2 linked regions of the Lytechinus pictus genome follow. The main gene of each other region encodes a partner of the protein of the gene in region 2 in a complex. Links are inferred from orthologs where the notes say so. Each region holds a gene or a part of one and is shown on either strand. Other genes may lie near its edges.

The links. The genes of interacting proteins can lie anywhere in the genome.
Region 1: peregrin-like (region 2) and chromatin modification-related protein MEAF6-like share a complex: the UniProt entries of both Drosophila melanogaster proteins name them as parts of the enok complex. The link is inferred for Lytechinus pictus from reciprocal best matches to the Drosophila melanogaster genes Br140 and Eaf6.

Annotation. Positions count from the first base shown.
Region 1 is NC_087246.1:18,104,922-18,108,679, reverse strand, and holds the start of chromatin modification-related protein MEAF6-like, read left to right. Parts: upstream 1-884; 5' UTR 885-1,035; coding exon 1,036-1,116; intron 1,117-2,024; coding exon 2,025-2,137; intron 2,138-2,896; coding exon 2,897-2,981; intron 2,982-3,758. UniProt on the Drosophila melanogaster protein: Component of the Enok complex which has a histone H3 acetyltransferase activity. Might be involved in transcriptional activation of selected genes.
Region 2 is NC_087247.1:47,613,625-47,617,382, reverse strand, and holds the start of peregrin-like, read right to left. Parts: upstream 2,602-3,758; 5' UTR 2,168-2,601; intron 1-2,167. UniProt on the Drosophila melanogaster protein: Scaffold subunit of the histone acetyltransferase (HAT) Enok complex which has histone H3 acetyltransferase activity.

The sequences.
Region 1 (3,758 bases), on a different chromosome or scaffold from region 2:
TGATTGATTGATTGATTGACTGATTGATTTTATTTGTCAAGAATATCACAGGTAATATGAGATACAATGAATTATAAGAATCCCGTGACACGAAAGCCGCCTTATTTCCAATGGGGTCCTATTGATAGTAAACAGTAATATATTGTAACAACAAAATGTATAAACCACAAGTACTGGAACATGGCGGTAAGGATATATCCATCGATCAAATAATTTGCAAAAACCTGAAGAACAATAATCTACCTTATATGAAACAAGGTTATATTTTAACATATATCCTATATAGGCCTATTATTTATACTAGAAACCAACTGTACAATTAAGGACCCCCCAAAAAATAAAAATAAAAGAATACTTTGATTTTTTTTCCAGAACCATTTCGTGTGTTAAGTCTTTAGTATGAAAACCCCTTTTTTAGCAGAATTTTTCTGTGTGGTAGGCCTATAACCTTGAACTGATTGCAAGGCTCCGTAACACAAAGCTTAGCGATGAATGGCAAATATGAAAGAATTCTTTCATATGATGAAAGAATACTTTTATATCCTGGTCAGTATCGGAACCAAATGCGTGTGTAACATTGATCTTGATTGGTCAGTCCATTTAGCGATTGATCGCTAATCTTTGCTATGTGTCTTGTCTGATAATCTATACCTCACAACAAATAAAGTCTCTTTCACTTTTTGAAAAAATTGCTAGGTCTCTTTATCATTCCTGACCGAGGCAAAAGTTATTGATAATATTATTTGAGAGTGATTTGACTAATTATCTACTATCAATAAGCACTCGATTCTTCATTTATTAGAGTTTGATATGCTTCTTCTTGTCTTGTCCCATTTGAAACCTGCGCATTATACCCTTTTTAAACCCGTCTTCTAAAAAAGCTCATTTTTCTCTATCAGATCATCAGAGTAGCTCGTTTTTCCATCATTGTGTTGCTTCCCTCTACGTTCGTTATTATTATATTCGCGTATAAATTGATTGATTGATGATGATCGGACTTTGCCCAGATGCGGAATTTTTAAGGTCGAGAGAAAAATGTCGTCCAAAAGTGCGCAGCAGGCGTCAGATACGAGAACAGAATTAGCGGAATTGGTGAAGAGAAGATCAGAAATAGCTGTAAGTATCATGACATCCTATACCGTTAAGTAAAATACGGTAATTAGATGTCAGATTAATGAGTTTCGACAGATTGCCGTACGGAAAAGTGCGAACATCTGGCCCTGCGCTGCTTGACCGACGGTATACCGGCACATGCGAAGTTTACGCGAACATATCTAATGGGATTTTCACAATAATGTGATATTTTTACTTAAAATGCACAAAGCTAATTCCCGTCCCCGTATAGATCTACATCATTGAATCAAATAATATATTTACGCAGTACAATTGTCAAATGTTGAATACATTGGTGTTTTTTTGAATAAATTTATTGATTTAATCATATCATTATGATCAGATGAGAGATAATCAAACACAGTCAATCAATGACAATGTTTCTTAAATGACAAACGTCCACTACACTACAGCCTACAGGATGAATACCAGGCCTGGTGAATCACAAATAGTGTATTTACAAAGAATAACGATGTACACATTTTGCCAAGATCAGCTTTCTTTTTTTATGATATCGGCTTTTGATCGCACCCCTCGGCCCTCTTCGCATGTGAAATATGTTTGTCACTTGAAAATGGTATTACCGACTCTGTGTTTTCTGTGGGAAAAGTTTGAAACTTCACAAAATCACCTAGTTCAACCATATTTTGTTATTTTGAGAATAAATGAAGTGTGTTTTTGGCTTTTATAATTTTGTTCATCATTTTTTCTAGTTGAATTCCCTGGCTTTGGAAGGATGTTGCAAAGTTTTGAGAATATATGGAAATTATTTTCTGATGCGTAAATTCATGTGTTCGGTAATTACAAGGCCAATCCGTAAAACAATCACTCACTTTACTGACTTTAACTTCAATGAAAGGGGTAGGTATTGTCTTTAAAAAAAAAAATTAACTTGAATATCCTATGTACAGGAGACACTTGCAAATCTTGAAAGACAAATCTATGCATTTGAAGGCAGCTACCTGGAAGACACAGCTTTGTATGGCAACATTATAAGAGGATGGGACAGATATCTAACAAATAAGTAAGTAGGAAATAGGAATATTGTTTGTTGTTTACATATGTATTTGGTTATCACTTGGATGAATGGTTTTTCAGATATGGGTGATTTTAGGGCCGAGTCGAAGTGGGCAATTTCTTCCAGACCGATGGACTGCTAAAATAAAAAATATAAGAAATTTAGTGTCACCAAAGACTGAGAATAGCAACCATTTTCAGGCCTTCATCTAGATTTATACCGTATATCGAAAATTACACATGATACTATATATCTAAACAATAAATCAACCCAGTAACGCTATGAAAATAGTAGCACTGAGCAGGATTTCTCAATTTTCTTGCTTGAATTCATCGGCACGAAACCTTATAATCCCTGTGGCATGGATGCATCCATTTTGTTCTGTTTGCAATTTCTAGCAGGGGGCACAAGTGCTACTCCACAGCAATTTTCAGCACCGGGTAACTAAGAGTTGCAAACAAACAAAACAACAGAACAAAATAGCTCATTAGCATCTCTCTTTTTTTTTTGGTTAAAATTTTTCATTAATCTCTAAATGCAAGTGTATTCAGGTTTACAGTTGAGTTTCTGCGCATATCGTTTCTGGTACGCCTCAGAATGTATTGTTTTTACTCAGCAATATGTTACCAATTCAGTAAGTATTTGGTCTTGAATTCAAGAAAAGATTCAATTCTTACAATTAATGTTGGTTTAATGATGATTGAAATATAAGAGATAATATATGAAATATAAGAGAATATGCGAGTAACATTTTATTATTTGCAGGAGTACCAATAGTAAGACAGACAAACGAAACAGAAAGTTCAAGGAAGCTGACAGACTGTTTTCTAAATCAAGTATTACATCTCAAGTAAGTGTTCTAGGGGAAACCAGTCTTTAACAAATATTGAAAGAAACCGGGCCAGGAATGGGAAAGTAATGGCTGTTTAAAACTTTGAAATATGAGATTACTAAGACTACATTAATTTCAAATTGGCAATTCTGTGTGTTGTGTTAAAATGTCATACTGAGTCAAACTTGAAAAAATACATTTTAGTCATCACAGTGACATCACTTTTCTAGCCATTTTGTAGTCTAGGTGTAGAGATTTCAACTTTTTACATAGATCTTTTAAAAATTCATAAATGAAGGGTGAAATTCCATGATATATGCATATTTAATACTTTGTCAACCAAAATGGAAATGACATATATTCATGTTTGATTTATATTTCAACATGAGACTGAGATGTAGGGTAAAGGGCAATTGCTTTAATTGCCTTAATACACAATATGTCATTTTTTCAATAGTTTTCTTAGTATAATAGTTTTATGTCATAGGCAGATGTTCATACTATATTTGATTACTGCCCTGAGTAAAAAAAAAAAATGTTCGTAGAAGAAACAAGTATTAGTACATGGCAAATTTGTTTAAATTGGTTTAGAAATGAGCTATATACAAATATTGAGTCTTGTAAATTGGTCTCGTACAAAAATAAAGGACTGATGATATTTCCATTCAGGCAAATAAGCCTGTGATCAATGTGGGCATTCTTTACAGAAAGTTCTTGACAGATATCATTGGAGTGTTGCATATACTGTGACCTTTGATGTGTGAAATTTGATTTATTGTACTAAAAATTCATCAG
Region 2 (3,758 bases):
AATAAAAAAAACCAAACAAATAGTGAGTGAGGGACATCATCAACTGTCTCATTTGCATGTCACTGAGTTATGCATGGGTGTTTTTTTTTAATAAGCGAAACTTAAAAATGTCATAGCTTTGTTATTTTACATCCGATTTTGATGAAATTGTCAGTGTTATGCTACAGTACATGTAGTTTGACTTTTCTCTATTTATTCTAATAAAATAAAAACATTTTCCTGTGGTGGACTTGACCTTTAATATGCATACAATAACAGATAATTATTCATTTTTTGTTACAGATTTAATTATTGATGTTACAAGATTAATACTGCTAAATACTAGGGTGATCCAATGTTGCATTAACTTTTGACACCAAACACATTTCAAAATTCATATTTACATTGCATAAACCCTTTCCACAGAGGATTATCTATTGTTACTGGTGGTGCTGTGACAATGCTCAGCACCCCCAGTAACAATAATATAATCCTACGTGGACAGGGCCCTGTTACATTGAGGTCTATGTAATAATTAGTTGTTAATTAGTCATTTTAAGAAAAAAAAAGGTATTTGAGACTTAACACTTTTTCACTAAGAATGGTAATACCTGTAACATCCAAAAAATAATTTTTTGGACCATTTTTACCCTGTTCGCGAAATTGGACCACCTTATGACATGCGACCATATGCAATGCACTATTTTTTAAGTTTGTACTCTACATGTAAATAATTAATTAATATGAAATATCAATTCCTTTTTTTTTTCTTTAATCTGATTTTGTATCATGAAATCACTACCATAAAAAGTACCACATTATAAAATGGAAAAAGTGATCATCATTGGCAGGCCCCTAAAACACAGTATTACACTTTGGGTAGACATGAACTTTAAGAAGTAGGCTACAGGCACTCATCTAATGAACAAGGTTATGATACATGTAGTCACTGGGTGGGGGAAATAACGTTGGCAATGTTTGGCGTAATTTTCTCTTCTTCTTTGGGACAAATGCTTGATTTTATTGTCAGTTTCCTCCATTACAACTAGATCTATTCACCATATAACTTGGCTCTTAGGCAACTTAAATGATTTCAATTATTATTTTTTCTAAATTAAAAATAGATTGTTGAATGACAATTTTCTTGCAATTTTACTTTCCACCAATAGAGGGCCTACACAAAAATATGCCCAAAATTCAAGTTTTTGAGCGCTCTGGTGAATACAAAAATAATCCCGAAGTTACTAATAAAAAATAAATTGCAACTGTATTGAAATCAGTATCATTGGTTTCAAAAGTGATATTTTAATGATTTTTTTTTAATGTGTTTGTAGAGGTCTACTGCATACATGTAGGTCTCTGTATGTAGTTTCCAATTCCCCACAGCTAACACTAGTAACAGCTAAGGCAGAGTGGTTGCAGTGATCAAGGAAGTGGCTACAGGTAGTACAGGTACATGTACAGTAGTTTTGACCACCATAAATAGACTTGGATCTAAGACTGTAGATTCTACCCTTTTCACAAACTTGTATTTTAAAATAATGATTAAAATAAGACTCAATCAAACTCAAGTCAAAGTTAGACAGAAGAATATCAACTTCATTTTCAGTCTTCATTTCATATTTTAAAAAATGCAAAAGTATTGACAGACACACGTCACATTTTACAGTTACACATTCATTCTCTCAACAAGCATAGTTCTTCTTCCTATGGCCTTGGCATATTATCGTACTCGTTGTGCTTGTCAAGTGCCCAGATGAATAGTGCGAGTAAAAATCTCTACAAAATAGTTTCCTTTGCTTTATTTGAAAATACAATTTCATTGGACCTTCCAAAGTTCCAACTTCCAAGACACAAGAAAGATAGCATACTGAACTACAAAATACAAGTACATAACAAAGGAGACATATCCGGCTTGATAGAGATCTTTCTAGCAAGCTAGCCGCGCTCGTTCAAATGTTTTAGTGACTCATGAATATTCATGCTCATGCCCAACGTGACGAACTCGAAAAAAAATTGTGCACGCCCTGTAAAAATGGGCCCACCTCTTTAAAATAGAATTTCATAGCACTTTCATGACTAAAATTTCCCCCAAAGTATTTAAATGACGTATGTTGGGGTAAAAAAAAAAAGCTAAATCCGGACTGAGCAAGGTACAAATCGAAAGCTAACTTATCACATTACCGACCTGTTCTAGCTGCAATCGGCTGCTGAGCTGAGCCAGTTGTACGCACGCTCCATGCTATATGCAGTGTTGTAGGCGGGGAGCGGAGAAGACACGGTTATGTCCCGTTGAACACACAGCTTAGCTCAAATCACTTGTGCTCTCATACATACAGCACATAGCAAGGCTTTTCGAAAATATCTGTCCGAACAAAGACGCACGAACAATGCCTTGCTTAATTTAAACCATGAATTCGTCCAAAGCGCGTCATGAAAATTCACAGTATGATAGTCCAGACTCTGCTTGATATATTCCAGAAGACAATGGTGCAAAAAGTTACGCATTTAACGAGATATTCGAAGCCAAATTTTGACGATTGTACTGTCCTGATACGCACTCGACGGGCTACCCTCCGCTCATTTTCAGACATCTTTTCGAAGGTACGAAAAGCGCCCCCCTAGCTTTTCAAAAATTACGCTATGCTCTAACGCCATCTTTAGTTGGAATTCGAGAAAATGTGGAAATGTTTTTTTTTTTTTCAAAAGATTTTGACCGGAGAGTTGTGAGGATGTTTAGATAGAGGGTGTAAATAGCGATGTTTGTCCTTAATTTGCTCACAATTCATTATCGCTGGTGCCGAAAATTATTCTGCATGTTGTGAACTCTCTAACCCATTCCCCTCGTGCACACTAAATAGACCATTTATTCACCATGACCTAGTGGGAATGAAGTTTTAATGAAAATAAATGATATATTTGTGAGCGAGCAAATAAACCACATTTTGTTATGGCATATAAAAATACTTTTCTGATGAAAATTGTTTTATTAGTAATAATTGATCATTATCAATTAATCAATCTATGAAGAGACGGGGGTGTAGACCTAGTCTATATTTGTCTTATATTCATGATTGTCTTCCAGAAGGCCTAGATATTTTTCGGTCATCTCACTAATTGCATTTGTTTGCTTTCGAAACTATGCTACATTGCTACACATCTATTTTAAGATTGTCTGCAGATTTATGTGAACGAAGGCAACCACAGCGAGAGATAAAAATAGCATTCTATGTATATGCGTATTACAGTATAGGTGAATTTTTGTATAATCAAATACCAGGGGAAAAAAAAAAGGAGAAAGAAAAAAAAAGGGGGGAAAGGGTATATAAAGGGGGTAAAAGAGAGGGGAAAAGAAAATAAGAGGAGGAAGACCAGTGAATGAAATAAGATGAGGGGAAGACTTGGAAAATCTTCATTGTCACTTTAAAAAATTTTCGCTCTCGCTTCGCACTCGCATTGCCTGATCGAAGATACAAATCTTGCTAAATGGGCTGATATAGGGCTTAAAATATAAAGTTTGAAGTCAATATATAAAAACATATTTCAACTCGGACATCAAACTTTCATTATTTTGTTTGATTTACAAATTAATTTGAAAAAAGTGCTTTGTAAAATGTCGGTTTATACGGTCTGAATATTAACATTTTCAGCTCGCGCTGCGCGCTCGCATTATTTGATTTGTCAAGTACATATCCTCTTCGATTCCATAAAGCAATATCCCTTTTCAGGTCTGATTGTCAAAACGTATTAGCTAGCGCTGCGCGCTCTTTTGATTGAGT